Nothobranchius furzeri: one gene and its partners. The protein of the gene in region 2 binds, or shares a complex with, the protein of the main gene of each other region. Links are inferred from orthologs where the notes say so. Each region holds a gene or a part of one and is shown on either strand. Other genes may lie near its edges. The genes, in order: rapamycin-insensitive companion of mTOR, mtor, fkbp3 and mlst8.

What was found.
Region 1: the proteins of mtor (region 2) and rapamycin-insensitive companion of mTOR are in contact, whole or in part, in a cryo-EM structure (PDB 6ZWM), measured with the Homo sapiens proteins. The link is inferred for Nothobranchius furzeri from reciprocal best matches to the Homo sapiens genes MTOR and RICTOR. Residues at the interface, in NP_001373429.1 of Homo sapiens: Arg1028, Asp1032, Lys1068, Leu1069, Asp1108, Asp1109, Tyr1110, Asp1150, Lys1187, Asn1196, Val1200, Gln1207, Asp1210, Val1211, Cys1214, Arg1215, Lys1218, Gly1219, Tyr1220, Thr1221, Leu1222, Ala1223, Glu1226, Glu1227, Asp1228, Leu1230, Ile1231, His1234, Arg1235, Arg1238; in NP_689969.2 of Homo sapiens: Leu204, Arg205, Gly206, Asn209, Arg245, Asp247, Val248, Glu249, Glu251, Arg252, Leu254, Thr258, Asp259, Phe260, His261, Tyr262, Arg263, His264, Ser265, Pro266, Asn306, Gly308, Ser311, Gly314, Val315, Cys317, Ile318, Pro319, Glu345, Ile347.
Region 3: the proteins of mtor (region 2) and fkbp3 are in contact, whole or in part, in a crystal structure (PDB 5GPG), measured with the Homo sapiens proteins. The link is inferred for Nothobranchius furzeri from reciprocal best matches to the Homo sapiens genes MTOR and FKBP3. Residues at the interface, in NP_001373429.1 of Homo sapiens: Glu2032, Tyr2038, Phe2039, Gly2040, Arg2042, Tyr2088, Val2094, Leu2097, Tyr2105, His2106, Arg2109; in NP_002004.1 of Homo sapiens: Lys160, Pro161, Leu162, Ser163, Lys170, Tyr198, Lys201, Gly202, Gln203, Pro204, Asp205, Ala206.
Region 4: the proteins of mtor (region 2) and mlst8 are in contact, whole or in part, in a crystal structure (PDB 4JSV), measured with the Homo sapiens proteins. The link is inferred for Nothobranchius furzeri from reciprocal best matches to the Homo sapiens genes MTOR and MLST8. Residues at the interface, in NP_001373429.1 of Homo sapiens: Leu2269, Arg2270, Met2271, Ala2272, Pro2273, Asp2274, His2277, Leu2278, Thr2279, Leu2280, Met2281, Gln2282, Val2284, Glu2285, Val2286, Glu2288, His2289, Asn2292, Asn2293, Glu2536; in NP_001186102.1 of Homo sapiens: Tyr20, His22, Asp42, Ser43, Gln44, Val45, Asn46, Tyr62, Asn87, Glu105, Gln148, Thr174, Arg221, Tyr222, Leu224, Ser268, Arg270, Gly271, Trp272, Trp274, Ser290, Lys313, Val316.

The regions. Positions count from the first base shown.
Region 1 is NC_091757.1:36,632,430-36,636,514, reverse strand, and holds the start of rapamycin-insensitive companion of mTOR, read right to left. Parts: upstream 2,855-4,085; 5' UTR 2,628-2,854; coding exon 2,513-2,627; intron 2,388-2,512; coding exon 2,340-2,387; intron 329-2,339; coding exon 231-328; intron 1-230. Other genes in the region: c17h5orf34 (uncharacterized protein C5orf34 homolog), read right to left, coding at 4,047-4,085. UniProt on the Homo sapiens protein: Component of the mechanistic target of rapamycin complex 2 (mTORC2), which transduces signals from growth factors to pathways involved in proliferation, cytoskeletal organization, lipogenesis and anabolic output.
Region 2 is NC_091755.1:52,484,528-52,488,089, forward strand, and holds part of mtor (serine/threonine-protein kinase mTOR), read right to left. Parts: intron 1,918-3,562; coding exon 1,805-1,917; intron 1,517-1,804; coding exon 1,354-1,516; intron 913-1,353; coding exon 820-912; intron 519-819; coding exon 372-518; intron 1-371. UniProt on the Homo sapiens protein: Serine/threonine protein kinase which is a central regulator of cellular metabolism, growth and survival in response to hormones, growth factors, nutrients, energy and stress signals.
Region 3 is NC_091742.1:23,796,148-23,799,948, forward strand, and holds fkbp3 (peptidyl-prolyl cis-trans isomerase FKBP3), read right to left. Parts: upstream 2,430-3,801; 5' UTR 2,380-2,429; coding exon 2,275-2,379; intron 2,120-2,274; coding exon 2,018-2,119; intron 1,931-2,017; coding exon 1,832-1,930; intron 1,687-1,831; coding exon 1,551-1,686; intron 1,466-1,550; coding exon 1,398-1,465; intron 1,319-1,397; coding exon 1,221-1,318; intron 932-1,220; coding exon 877-931; 3' UTR 515-876; downstream 1-514. Other genes in the region: faua (FAU ubiquitin like and ribosomal protein S30 fusion a), read left to right, coding at 115-170, 353-478. UniProt on the Homo sapiens protein: FK506- and rapamycin-binding proteins (FKBPs) constitute a family of receptors for the two immunosuppressants which inhibit T-cell proliferation by arresting two distinct cytoplasmic signal transmission pathways. PPIases accelerate the folding of proteins.
Region 4 is NC_091756.1:30,074,057-30,078,180, reverse strand, and holds the start of mlst8 (target of rapamycin complex subunit lst8), read right to left. Parts: upstream 2,825-4,124; 5' UTR 2,731-2,824; intron 2,725-2,730; exon of another isoform or gene 2,529-2,724; 5' UTR 2,493-2,528; coding exon 2,364-2,492; intron 2,248-2,363; coding exon 2,196-2,247; intron 1,422-2,195; exon of another isoform or gene 1,286-1,421; intron 726-1,285; coding exon 563-725; intron 495-562; coding exon 419-494; intron 328-418; coding exon 175-327; intron 92-174; coding exon 1-91.

The DNA of each region.
Region 1 (4,085 bases), on a different chromosome or scaffold from region 2:
GTGTTCTGTGCCATCTTTTAGGTGGGAATTTTACTGACACACAAGCAAACTTCGGTACACCATCTTTGTGGTCATAATATCTACACCCTGGTATAACTTTCAGAAACATACAGATGTCATTTAGCATCACAAAGTTCCTGTGGCTAGAGAATGGTTGAAAACTACATTTCAACACTGTTTAGACAGATTACACAAACTGTGGATTTGGACCATCAGATCTGCAGTAGTACCTTAATGAAGTTGTTCAGGTGGCCCAGTTTTCGCATGTTACTGACTCCATGAGGTTTGGCCACATTTTGGAGAATTTCACGGAAGTTTTCAGATGGTTCTGCAAGGGAAAGAAGAAGAAAACAATGCAACGTAACAAAGTGTGAAGCCATACTGGTATAGTATCAGTAATTGATTCACTGCAGGAAGGAAGACGGTCCAGCTCATTTAGCGTGTACAGTCAAAACAAGACGCAATTAAAAGAGCAAGATGTGAGCAGGTCAGCATTTGGTTTGCACGTCCTTCCAATTTATATGTGCTGACCACAATGTTATTGACATAAGGAATGTGGCTGTAAAACAGAGAACTCTATTGGCAAGAAGGATTAATAACTTGACATTGAAATATTGTGAAACCCAGGAAAAGTTCCAGCAGCTCCAGACACTAAAAATACATCAGGATAACCACTTTACAGATTTATTCACATACACCAAGTCCACTAGAACAACTCCACAATAGCTTAGCAGGTTTCAGGACTTTGCAAACGGTTGATTTATTTTATGAATTAAAACAAACATGCACAATAAATCTATGAATTTCATGTTGTTTACTTTTCATTGAACTTTAAAAAACAGCAAACATGTACAACCAAATATCAAGAAAGAAAATATGTTATACAGACTCATCAGTTTGATTTGATGCCCATTCAAATATATATTTAAGTATCTTATATTAGAGGTGGATTTGAAAAAAAGAGCAATGACAATAACTTCAGATAATAATCCTTCATTTAGAGCACAGACTTAGTTTGGTTTCCCTATTTGTAACAATGCATTAGTAGAAAAGTGTACATGCAAATCATTTTAGAAGCATTGCATGGTGGTTTTTTTTTTATTTCAATTTCAGGGCAGGATAAGTGCCAACCATCCAGATTAATCAAAGCTAATCGCAATTGCTTTGTGTCTTTTAAAGATCATTTTAACCCATGACAAGTGTTATTTACGCATGCTTTGATTCTGTTGAACATTCTATTGTTTAACAGTTTGGAGTCAAGCAACCCAATCAATCTTAAAATCTATGATGTCAAGCGCTGAATACAAGTACAAAACAAAAAGTATAATCTATTGAGATTTGATATTTTTGTTTACTTTAATCACTTTCCTTTACCTATTAATAACTTAGTTCAAGAGATAGTGAAATTACTGTAAAAGCCTAGAAACAGCTACAAAAATAACAGTAGACTGTAGTTTGTTGTGTTTGTTGAAAGATCCTCACAAAGAAACAGTTTGCAAACTACAATTAAAAAAGTAACTCATAATTGAGCTTTCATGTCAGTTAGCACTCTCAGGTATCATGAAATCTCATTTATCTGTGCATTCTTCTAGTCTCCTGCTCATTTTGTATCATTGCTTTAAGTTTTTTAGGAAGATTTGCTGTTTTTGTATAAACTGTAACTTTCTCAAAATACTAAGCAAGAACATTGACTGCAAATTAGCCATAAGTAGAAGTTCTTTACACGGAAACTTGATATGAAACATGGCCTCTTTGTATTTTGGCCCTCAAGATATATATGTTTAAAACCTGCAGAGGAAAACTATCGTCACTGATATCTCATATGTTAAACGCCTCCAGCTCCTTATGTCAGCAGATACAACAAAATCCTGATGGATGATGCTGTTCACGAGTGTTCCGTGTAAACAAACCGGTGTTGTTGCTGGAGCAGTGTTTCTGACCCGGCTGAGAGGCTGTAGCTCAAGAACCAGCCTGTGCAGCCATATGTGCTACTTAGCAAACAGCCAGTACACCCAGTTCCTCGTGCAGTCAGTGATGACCGATGCATGAGCTGTCTGGCTGAATAACAGGCTCTGTATCCTACTAGCACCGATCAAAACAACAGCGCGTCGTCATGGCTGGTTAGCTGTGGCAGCTAATCCAGCTCGTTTGTTAGCTCGCTACCGCCCGTTGTTATGACTAGTTAGCAATGTTTTTACACGAAACAGAAAGGAAAACTGACTAAGTAAGAATTGCAAATAAAAATACATATGCACGTCATGGTTTGAGTTTCGTTTAATGGGGCAGTGTTTACAGCAAAGTGCCATGATGATCCATTTTGAAGAATAATCGCTGATTACCTCTGCTTAGATCCAGCGGTACGTTCTCCTCCCCGCTGTCATTCCGACCTGACAAAAACACACACAGTGTACACAAAAACACATCACTCCAAGCTCATCGCGTGTATGGGGTCTTCTATTTTGCAGATTCCCGCTGTTACACCTGTCATTGAACAGAGTTTTTTCAAGCTTACCTCGCATCCGAAGACTCCGTATAGGACGGCCGCGGAAGCTGGCCGCCATGTCTCCAGGAACATACAGTACACACAACACCGGAAACTTCGCGGAATCTCGCGACAATACACGCATCAAAGACGTCGTCTGCAAACTGGCTACGACAGACCCAGTATAAACTATATACGGTATTAATGTCGATGGACAGACCCAGCAGACCTGAGACTAGACCCCTCTGCTCAAAGTCCCTCTGTTGTTTGTGGATATAAAAACAGCAATCTGATCTGGGGACGGGGTTAATCACAATAATCAAATTTCACCACTAACCTCTTTTCATCCAAAAACACATGAAAGTAAAGTTGTTGTAGAGTTTATGACCATTTCAATCATGCCAGATTAAGACCATGACACTTTATTATTGTGGATTAGTATTATATATTTACACATTTTCTTTGACAATTGACTGCTTCTCTTTGATTAATTGATTAAACTAGTAAGGGTTGACTTAAGTAGTGTGATCTAATATTTATGAACAATCCAAACTGTTTTCTAAGCAAATGGTTCCCAATCTTTCAGCTTCAGACCCTCAAAGTAGCAATTGTCAAGACATGTGACCCACAAATATCTGATTTTAAACCATGCATAAAAGCTTAATAATTTAGGGCATAAGAAAACTGCTTCAGTTCATGTACAGTAATATACATTTATGACAATGTAGTTAAGGTTTGTAACAGTTATTATAAATAATATAGCTTCAGCAATCTTGGAAATTGTCTCAAGACCCCCCATGTGGTTCTTGGTGACCCACAGCAGGATCCCAACCCTAGCTTTGGAAACCACTGGATATTTTGCCCATGAAAGCCAAAACATTCCCAATTTATTTCACAAATACAACCTACTTTAATGCAACAAAGATATATTTAGCTATCTGGCAATGAAGTATTGCAAACTAGCCTAGTAATGTTCCCATTTTGCTTTCTTGATGCTATAAATTGTTAGGATGAACACATTTATTTTGGTTAAACTTGAAGGTTTCTAGCAGTTGCCACAACTTTTGCTGCATTACACCTAGGCTACAGTATGTTTACAAAAAGCAAAATGGCTGTTTTTTTTACTTGACTTAAAATGACTAAACTGCATAGTAACAGTCAACATGCAGTGTTAACCTGCTGAAGGTCTCTTCACAGAAACATGGCAGTTAAGTCTGCAAGTTAACGATGTGAAGGATATTTTTGCCCTTTAAATTGGTCGTATTTCTAACATGTGCAAAGTAGTATTCCTCACCAAATCAAAACTGCAATTTATAATTTGATTATAATAAAAACCATAACAATGGAAATTTTCCCACATCATTTGGAAACATATTTATCAGTGGAATAAAGTTTTCTTTGTTCTTCTTTCAACACTGACGGGAATAGAAGACAAAGAACAATGTGTGTACATTTGATGTCTAGACACAAGTTACTACAGTCAAATTAAATATTACATGCGTAACATCTTTAAACAGAGGATCAGAATCTGTAATTACAGATTTACGACATGTTCTTCAGTGACTCAAGTCAGTGTTTCTCCAGCAATTAGAGCATCAATGTC
Region 2 (3,562 bases):
TTTCAAACAGCACTGGAACCGTGTGGGAGATCCAGCTTTTCCAGATCTCAAAAGAGTGAAACCACAGCATAAAAACCATCACTCTCGTATTCAAACCACTCCAATGACCCCATGTGCTCTTAAAACAGGCGTCTGCATTCAGTGTGTTCTTCTGCTCTTTCATTGAGAGTTTTTCTTCAAAGGTATTGCTGATCTGTTGGTTTCTATGGCATCTCCTCAAATAAACTGCGGGTTTGCAGTCAGAACTGTTTACCATATTGATTTTCAACATCTGCAGCAACGCTGGTAAACAAACAAAGGACTTCTTATGCTTCATTGTGAAAATAAGAGTTCAGATTTCAAAGAAAGTAGTGTTAGTTATCTCTTCTCACCTTCTGAAGCGCAGTAGTGCTAACATGAAGCTTTTTCATAGGGCCTGGCTCCACAGGGCCACTGACCAGAGCATCGCCTTTGTTACCACGAGTCTGGCGATGCTGGAAGATTAAAGGGTCTTCTTCCTCCTCTGCCAGAGTATAACCCTATTAAGGCCACAAATATGCACATATAAACACCAAGGCCACACACACACAGCCCACACACATGCTAACAGTTGTTTAAAGCATCAAAACATGTTTTTTGAATGGAGAAAAGCATTTCCTCCTGGAGGGGGCTGCTGGTAAACACAAGGAAGAATGTACAATGCTTATTTTACTGTTTAGTGATTTATTTCAAAGCTACATTGCAGGCAGATTAAAAAAACACACAAAAAAAAACCCCTGAATTACAGACACACTGGAAAGGTGTGTGACCGATTTAACATTAAAATCTGAATGCACCTACCTTTACAATCCGACATATGAGTATGTCGTATCGCTGGTGATTGACCCTGTGCTTCAGCATCACTTTGTTTACCATAGGGATGAAAATCTGGTACTGAAATCAGGAAGAAAGGAACGTTGTTTAAAAGTCAATGTGTGCCGCATGTGTTGTAGTCTAGATACGTCTTTCCTTTCACTATAAAGTAAATAATGGGGTATGAAGCATGAGCGTTTAACCTCTGAGAGCCTCACATCAAACGCCACCTCGACGTGTTTGTTGCCAAACATGGCTGGAAGGAATTCTGGTGGGTCTGAGGTTGGACCTCCAAACAATAAAAGTGTGTAGAGGTAAAACGTAGAAGGCTCAGGAGGAGAGGCGGGGTTACATGTGACCTCATCCATGCTCATAAACACCAACACCCGCTGATAGAGTGACATAAGCAGTCTGGCAGGAAGTAATAAGAGACTGGAGGGGGGGTAAAAGTGCTGCTCATGTAAAGCCAACAGTAGGGAAGTTGGCCATTTAAAAGGCAGTTCCAGGGATGGATGTGACTACCTTCTTTCCTAACTGGAATACGAGTGAGGACAGGGTGTCCATGGAGGTGGAACGCAGCTCGGGCGTGCTGTCCAGCGTCCTGACAATCGGGTGTATAATGCGTGACGCGTAGTCTGTGAAGTCCAGTGACTCCGTCAGCCGGTCAAGGGTCTCCAAGGCAACTCTGAGCCACAAAGACAAACACAAAACTTGGTTTGAATATTGTTGACAGCAGCAAAACAAAAACACACTGCTGCATCACACTTTACATATGTTTGAAGAACTATTCCGGGCCAGTTTTTAGAAGTAAAAACAGAAACATAATAAAACAATAGGGATGCACCGGAGAGAAAATGTCCAACATTGATATGTAACTTATATTATTTCCCTACACTTTCAACATGATGTAAAAGCAACCACACCACCCAACATTTTTAATCAATTCATAATTTTCCTTTGGGGTTTTACTGACTTTCGGGCTTGCGGTGGTACATCGGGGGCATCAAAGAGCTTGACAATAGGAGGCAGCAACAAGTGAAGGTAGTCGTCCAAGTTTGCACCAAACAGCTGGATGGCAATGAGCAGCTAGAGAAGAGAGGGAATATAACTTTATAACATTTCCCATGAGATGGTTATTTGCTGCCCCCCCCCCCCCCCAGTACACCTGAAGTAAAGCTTTTATTTTGGTAAGTTGGTGGCATAAACACAAGGCTTCCAAATGGTTCAATGGTGTAATACAAGAGCACATTATATATATGTATATATATGTAGGTATATATATATATATGTATATATATGTAGGTATATATATATATATATATATATATATATATATATATATATATATATATATATATATACATTTACATCAACATACTATAATGCGCCATCGGCCCATGTCTAAAGTTCACACGGCGAGACAGCAGGAAGCTGGAGTGTAGGCATTTATTTGTGGTAGTGTGTGGGATACTGAGCTGAACTGTGTCATGAAATGATGGAAGTGTGTTTTTCTTCTTCCCTCTTCTGAACCTGAGGGTAACCCGACTCCAAATCCCCCGTTCTATGAACCCCATCTCGTGCTTGAGATTAGACTCCAGACCCAGACCAGACTTATAGACAATCCAGACTGCGAGCTCCTAAGTTACATAAAACTGTAAACGTTGAGACCGAGAAGAACCAAAGAAAAGTCGACTGTGTGCTCATGATTCCATCTTTGTGCTCTCTGCCCAAACCCATGATTTAGGGTTTGAAGTAAAGTTCTGAAAATATTGGCAGCAGCTGCAGAAACCAGAGAGCGTGTTACTCACAGGTTTACAGCATCTTTGAAGTGACATATTACAAGTGAAAGGCCTAAACCTGTTTGGTGCTGATGAATACTGATGGAGAGCGAAAGCAGCAGCCCGATGAGTCAGCTTTGGGTTATAAACGTGGGGAGTGATGGCAGTACATTAAAAACACAAACTCTTCTTGGCTGCACCGCTGAAATGAATTTATTGCATCAAATCTGAAATATAACCTTGATAATGTGCTTTAACCGTGTAATTTATAACAAGCCACAGGTCACAATATGTTGGTGGAGTTTCATGTGCAAGCTGCCATCCCTAACCTTAAAAGAATAAAAAATTATACACATTTGTTTCATTTAGACTTTTTACAGGGATTAATGAATTAAAAACTGCTACTTGATGCTAAAATTGGTCAAGAAATCTGTAAAATGTACTTAAATCCCATTTTTCTCTTCGAAACAGGCAGAATAATAAGATGATTATTTAATTTTCACCTTAATAGAAATTATCAGGTTTTTTCTATTTGCTGTTTTTTCTATTGCTTTGTGAACAAAAACAAAAACATATTTTGCCAATATGGAAGACAAAATAGAAAAATTAATGCAAATCTTCTTATTTATTAGAAATGGTGAAAACAAAAGATAAATTTTGATTAACCTCAATAAGAAAGGCAGAGCTGGGCTGTAAAAATGCTACGAGAACACAAAAACCACCAACAGAACAAATTAAAAATCAGCAAAACACCAAGTCTCTCTTTCTATAATAGCATCATTCCCACGTGTGCTTTGTGAAAACGACTTCACCATTCAGAGACTGCTGTGCACTTCGCCAGGAAAGCATTCAAGGAACATTATTCCCACAATAAGCTATTTATTTATTAATCCCCTGCTGGGTGTGTGTGTGTGTGTGTGCGTGCGTGCGTGTGTGTTTCAGACTGAGATGTT
Region 3 (3,801 bases), on a different chromosome or scaffold from region 2:
GTTATCAGTTTGACAAGGTAGTGAGTGGTAAACTGCTGATTGTACATATAAACAGCATCATATGAATAGTTATTTATTTTTGAAGACCTATAGTTTAATCATGCTCTCTTTCAGGTAAGGTGCACGGTTCACTTGCCCGTGCTGGAAAAGTGAGAGGCCAGACTCCCAAAGTAAGGAATTTTACATCTTTAACTCCATTAAAGCATTTATAGTTAAGGAATTGTCCAAAATGGGTGTATAAAGAAACATTTAGTTGTTTTCCCTCACAGTTTGAGTCAGTTATTAAAAATGTAATTTATAAAAAGTCATTAACTGGTACAATCCTAAATATCTGCGTTTTTTTTCCATCCAGGTCGACAAACAGGAGAAGAAAAAAAAGAAGACTGGCCGTGCCAAGCGCCGTATCCAGTACAACAGGCGCTTCGTGAATGTCGTGCCCACCTTCGGAAAGAAGAAGGGTCCAAATGCAAACTCCTAATCAGCAACCCGGAGGAGAAACGACAAACGCCATCTGTCATCTTTTACCAAGTTAATGTTTATTTCTGTACAGAATAAAGAAGTTTAACTTGGCTTCAACGCGTTGTGTCGTGGTACTAGATTATAATAAATGTAGAAAAGCTTGGTGCTTTTATTTCATAGCATCTTTAATGTACAAGTTCAATGAAACAGCTAAATGTGAAAATTAAAATGAAGTAATTAAGTCTTTTGTACAAACTAAGAACTTTATTTTGTACACGGAAACATTACAATCATTCTGGTTTAAACAAATGACATGTGACTAGATAAAGGCAAAGTGGACTGTTTAAGTGCAGTCCAAACGACATTTCAACATAGGGATCCAAAAGCTGCATATGGAGAGCAATGCTGGTGGACTGTTTAATCCACAGACACCAGCTCAACCTCAAAAATCAGCTTTGCATTAGGAGGGATTCTGGTGGAGCTGGAATTAAGGAAAATGTGTTAACAGGAAGTCAAACTATAACCTTCACAAAAATATAATTTACCACAGTCAAGATGTTCAATATTATCCAGCACCTTAAACTAGAGAAAAAACACCTAAACGTAAACAACTCATTTATGACTATTATGATCAAAACCCTATTTCCTGCTTATTTTAAAGAGTTAAAGTACTTTCCAGTACCACAAAAATTCTACAAGATTAAGAAAACTAGCCCAGTAAAATGAAACCTGTTTTATTGTGATGCCAAAGAGAAGGATACTTGGAGTCAGGGAGGCCTTTCTTCCCGTACGCCCACTCCGCTTCAATCTCCAGCCGGGCCGTTTCCCCTTTGCTCATAGTCAGAAGGCCTTCATCCCACTGGAGTGACGGCAGGAATTAAGAGTCTAACATTGTGGAAATTGTGAACATGCACATGAAGGATAAAAAAAAAACCTACTCCTCGGATGACTTTGCCCATGCCTACTTTGAAGCTCAGAGGTTTAGCCTGCTTCTTCTTTCTCGCCACTAAAGATGAAGACAGACTGAGTTTTATCCGTAAACATGAAAGATGCTGGTCTGAAGTTCCAAACCCGTATTTCTGGCATCATACCTGAGGGTATATTCGTGTCAAACACCGTTCCATCTTCTAGGGTACCAGTGTACCAGCAGCTCACAGTGTCACCCTTCTTAGGAAAGTTTGTCTTGTCGCCTTTCTTTAGGATGGATTTGGTGTACTTTGGAGGACCCTAAAACAAGCAGAATCACCTCAGCCTCCGTTATCCTTACGCAGCAGTGTATTGCTGATGAAATTATGAAGAAACGTAGTGGATGGGAGTCATAACATCTTCAAAATAAAGACTAAATTTGTTGTGCATAAACCAGAAAAATCACCTCATCCACCACTTCTGCCTTCACTTCTTTGGGCTTTTCTTCTATTTTCACTGCTTTCACCTGCTCGGTCAGCTCCTCTGGTTCTGTGCCTTTAAATCTCTGCAAAATAAAACTTACAGCATTCACGTTTATCATGTTTATAGATGACACAGCATCTGATATTCAGGTCTCCTCAGCATCACTCACTTTACTCTCAAACAGCTGGTTGTACGCTGTCACGAGCTGCTCTTTCTTTGCTGTTTTGGCCACATTTTTAATATTTCCCAGCAGCTTGTGCTCATTGAGGAACTGGAAGACAAACACGCGGCCAGAATGGGAGCGTTAGCACGTTTTTGATGCTGCAGTATTGTTGCTAGCCCTGCAATCCGTTTAGTGAACATTAGCATCGTAAAACACACAATATTAAGAATGAAACTTCCCCGAAAATAAAGCGAGAATCATACCGAGTGTGAAGCATTGTCTTGGATGAACTTTATTATGTCTTTTTTGGGTAAATCATCACTTTTCAGCTGCTCATCGCTCCATTCCCGTGCTGGCTCGGCCGCCATCTTAAAAGGCAAACTGGTGACCTTTGAACTCGCTGCGCATTGTTTTTGTTTTGAATTCGATTATTTGTTTATTTATCTTCAAGGAAGCTACTAAGTTAGTTATATGAATATTACATTTACTAAAAATAGACTGAAAAAGATATAACACAAATTAATGCAAGTTTGCTTAAAATAGCTCACCCACTTGGTAAACAATAAACAAACTTTATTTTTTACTGCTAATGTTCAGTGCAAAAGTTTATTCATCGGTCGTTTAACTTGACAGATGGCAACATACTATGTTTATAAGGGATTCATATGTATTATTTAGGTCAAATGAATGGAAACACAACGAGAATCAATTAGTATCTGGTTTTCGAAGATAAGGATTTTTCCATCCTCTGGCGGACCGAAGATGTTACTACAGCATTCAAATGGCTAAACAAGACATAACACACACACACACACACACACGCACGCACGCACGCGCACGCACGCATGCACACACACACACACACGCACGCACGCGCACACACGCACGCACGCATGCACACACACACACACACACACACACACACACAGAGCATCACTCTCACCCAGTAACTCTTGTTGCCTAGTAACCAACTAGAGAGATGAATAAATATCTGCATGGCCTTGTTCTCCAGCTTGGTATGATGGTGGAGCATCATCATCTCGCTGCAATTATCTCTTTACAGGAAATCTCCCAGGTCTCATCTCTCCTCTTTTGTTACCCACCAGGGGAGAAAAGTGCAAAACTCCAAAGGTTGGTGTTGGAAAACCTGATCTCACTGTTTCTCACTCAAACAACACCACTACTTCCACTACTACTACCACTACTACTACTACTACTACTACTACTACTACTACTACTACTACTACTACTACTACTACTACTACTACTACTACTGCTGCTGCTGCTGCTACGGCTACAGCTACCACCACTACTACTACTACTGCTACTACTACTACTACTACTACTACTAATAATAATAATAATAATAAAGCTACTACTACTACTATTAATACTACTACTACTACCACTACTACTACTACTACTACTACTAATAATAATAATAATAATGCTACTACTACTATTACTACTACTACTACCACTACTGCTAATTTGTCTACAAGTTGTCCTCAGGCATTATATTGCTCGAGCACACTGGAGCTCTTACTGGAAGCTCAATAATTCCCTGTTAGTTCACCAAAATGTTATGAAAATAGCATTCATTAATTAAACATTAATGGAATTAAGCTTTTCTATAATGATCAATTCTGGTGAAGGTTCTCAGTCATCCAGCTCTTGGTAATCTAAAGGGTTCAAGTGAAGGCAACTGGACTTCTTTGGTTTCTTGAAGACATTTCGCTTCTCATCCGAGGAGCTTTGTCAATTCTAACTGAAACATGGACGAGTCAAAC
Region 4 (4,124 bases), on a different chromosome or scaffold from region 2:
AGCGTTTGTGTGCTGGGATCTTTGTTTTTGGAATGAGCTGAGTCACTTCATCTCCCATCCCTCCAGCCAGGTTCCACACATAACAGTTTCCCTGTTGAGCACAAAAAAGAACCGGTTTGCTTTTGTCTTTTTTAAATTACCCAGCATGGCCGATATTCTCATTTGCAGACTGACCGAACTGTTGACTGCTGCCATGTAACTGGCATCTGGGTCAATATGAACAGAGTTAACCGAGACTTCTGGTTCTGGAATCAGCTGTTCGTTGTGGTCTGTTTTCAGATCCCAAATATGAATCACTCCACTCTGGTCTCCGACTATCAACTCAGCCTGGAAAACACACAACAGTTAGAGCATTTGGAAACACTGTCACTTTAAACTAAAAGACTAAGATCCCAGAGACAAACGCAGCATGGCTAACCTGGTTGGGATGCAGGCACACACAATTAATGGGAGCGTTTACTTGAAAGATCCTCTGACACTGCAGGTTTCTGGACCTAAACAAGAAGCAGGGTTTATTTTAAGTTGGAGCTCACGGGTTTTCAGTAAGTCCTGCTACACTGACCTCAGGTCCCATATGCGAGCCATGCAGTCCTCTCCTCCCGTGTACATCCAGCGCCCGTCTTCATGGAAGCCCACAGAAGTGATGTTCTTGCTGACGCCGTCGTAGTTGATGACGGGGTTTGGGTTGTTGGAGTTCAGGTCGTACATGCGGATGTGCTGGTAACCTTTGAAACAGAATGCACATTACCTGTGAGATAAATCCAAAGCGTTTAACGTTTTACTGGTTCAATTATTTGCTTTTCTTAAAGAACCTGTCTGATTTAGGGGTTGTACGAAATAGTCGACTAGTCGACTTCACGGCTCTGTAGTGACTTTTTATGCCTGTCATCAACTAGTCGCTGTCACGTCATAATGACTGACAAGATGCAGTCCTCGGAAAAGACAGCAGGTGATGAGCCCCTGCGCGTCTGGATCGAGGCGGAGGCGACGCGCTGTGCGGTACTGACACCGGCGGTAAAACGGACATTTAACCAAACTGTGACCTTTTCCCTCTTGCAATTTAACCTTCCCCTCACCCCCATCCTAATCTTAACCAGTTTGCGCATGCAAAGCTCTGATCGTTGACGCGCTCCAGACATTGCGTCCTGAGCACCGCCAAATCAGGTGTCACCACCTCAAAAACAAATTAAACACGCGATCGTTCATGTCGGCTCATTTCCTTTCATGTTTTCTGTCTGTTATTTGTGCCTGATGCATTTCGCTGCTGCGGAGCGATGCGCATCACCTGTTGTCCTCCGGTGACGCACCCCCAAGATTCCACTATCTCTCCACTCCGCTCTGGCACGAACTCCGCAGCAAAAACGGTCCCGTTGTAGTTGGCCGGCGAGCAGCGGCACTCCGCTGTTTTTGCGGTCGGTAGATCTTTTAGAACTGCAGTTCAAAGGTAACTCATAAGGTGAATATATATGAACCCAGGTAGCAGGTTTTCTTTAGGACTGAGAGGAGATGCAGGAAGATAATAAAGACAGGACAGAAAAATAGTCAAATAAAAACAAGTTAGTTTTTGTACCTGGTGGTTGCAACAAACAGACACCACTGAATGTAATCAGAAGTGAGGAACAGAAAATGAAATCATTATTTGAATGTTTAGAGCAGCAGGAAAGGCTGCAGGCGCATCAGTGAGATTGCGGCTGCTGCGCAGGGGGAGGGGGGAGAGGACTGAAGTAGGATGCAGAAACTACCGTTGTTAAAAGAGATGTGTTAACTTAGAAAATGTGGGCGCAATTTTAATTGTCAAAAACTCCAGCGAATCTATCGACCGACCCCCCCCCCCCCCGCCACTTCCGGCGTATGACGTCATCAACGACTAGTCGAAGTCGACTTGACTTTCATTACTTGACTGTCGACTTTAAAAAAAATAAAGTCGTGCAGGCCCTAGTCTGATTTTGTTTTTTGCAAATGCCACCAAATCCCATAAACTAGTCCCATTCTTCGCTCAGTATTTTGCTGAAGCATTCAACAACAACTAGAGCCAATGAGGTCCTTTTCAAATCCTGTCCAACCAACTGAACCCATCGCAGGTAGATTCTGAAGGCGGATAAGCTTTACAAAACAATTTATATTTTATAAATATGGGGTACTGTAAGTAGAGAAACACACAACGTGAAGCTCTATTGATGCATGCATGAACCAACCTGCAGCTGCAATCATACTTCTGTCAGGCGTCACCTCCAGGGAATTGACTTGCTGGGGGAAAATGTCAAGAAAATAAACTTTTATTATATGTCTAATTATTGCATTCTGTTTCTGTAAAGGGTTTCTTTAAAAACAAATACGACAATCGTTAGCTCAAGCACAAGTACCGAGTCCTGGTGCTGGACCGTCCTGGTGCAGATCCCACTGTGGGCCTGCCAGAAGCGGACAGTGTGGTCATATCCCGCCGTGGCCAGAATAACCGGGTCGCTGCCCACCGTCCCCTGGTTCACATTCATGTTTCCACAGCAGTCTGGTTGTCAGAACCGTCAATGCTACACTAAGATAATGAAAATTAGCATTCTGACCTTTACTAAAAGGGATGAAAATCACAGCTTAACAGAAGCTAGTCTTAGCTCAACAAGCTAACCAAGGTCGAAGTTTAACACTTTCGAGATTAAACCGTTTTCTGCGACAACACCTCTCACCTTACAGTAAAACAGCGATATTTGATAAACAGCATTTTGTTTACATTACCCTCTGCCGTCGATTCAGGAAAAAACGCGTCTTGGTTAAAAGCGTCCTCCAGAAACCAGAGTTCCGTTACAAACGTTCCGTGTTGATGAGTGCATTACCGCCACTTACTGGTGAATTAGAAATTAACAGGACGAACTGTCTGGATTTACGTCATGTTAATAATAAATATATTGCATTTATTAAGAATAAAATACCTCTAAGTCTACCGTGGGTTTAGTTTCGCCCTGAGGCCGCACGATCTGATGTTTATAGAGCTGCAGTTAACCGCTTCAGCTTGTTTATTTTATCGTGTTCAACACAAATAATTAAAAGTTAAGTAGTCTGCATATGTAAAGATGATATGGCTTTCCAGTCATCTAGACAAACTACGCTAATTCAATAATCGTAGTAATTTTAAGTGGTTTTATCTTCAACCACTTGTCTCCAGAAGAGGGCGATCCCTTACTCTCGAAAGCTAGACTCAGTTCTCGTTTTTTCATCCAGCTGACCTAGCTAAACATAAAAATTCATTACATATGTGGCCATTAATCAAAACAAATGACAGATTATAAGTACGGTAATTAAATTAAACGTTTATTCAGATAAAGAACAACCCGTATAAAAGAACTGTTTCTCTATTCTGTAGTTGTTACTTTTGCTGCATTTGTTTTCTTTTATTTAAATTATATGAAAAGGTTACAAATTTGTGAGATCCAAACAAATCTAAATGGTTTTCCTGTTAAAACAGAAATGTTTACCTTTTGAAAAATAATTCCCATGTATGAATGTCTGTTTATTAGACGCTGTTGAGTATTTATTGGTCAATAACTAATAATTAAGTTTGATATCTGACATGTTTGATTAGAAACTACAAACTCATGCTGGTAAAAATGTTATCTAAATATATTTATTTGACCTATTTGATGCATAGACTTTTAAGTTATGTTATGCAATAAAATAAACATTTGATTACTTGTTTTTAAATATGACTGAAAATATTTAATAAGCAGACGCCCAGCGCAACACCCGCTCACACATCTGAAGTAAGCCACTGATATGTGAACTCATGTTTTCACCAGTCGTTTTAAAATCAATGCATATAAAAGTACACATGACTGAATCAATACAAAAGTTAATTCATGCAATTATTGATGCTTATACTACCATTTGTACTCTTTAATAGTAACATTACCCCTCTTGTTGTCTATTGAATTTGTCTTTATTTCATATATAAATATTCTGTAATTTTTTATTGTCTCATAATAAACCTACATATAGTGGTTTTACATTTAATAACTACTATTTTGCCTTCATAAGCTTATTTATTCTTAAAATTAGCAGCTTCAATCCTCCACTGAATACGAATTGTTTAAAGTAGAATAAACCCACTAATTGAAATGTTTTAAGGTTTTAAT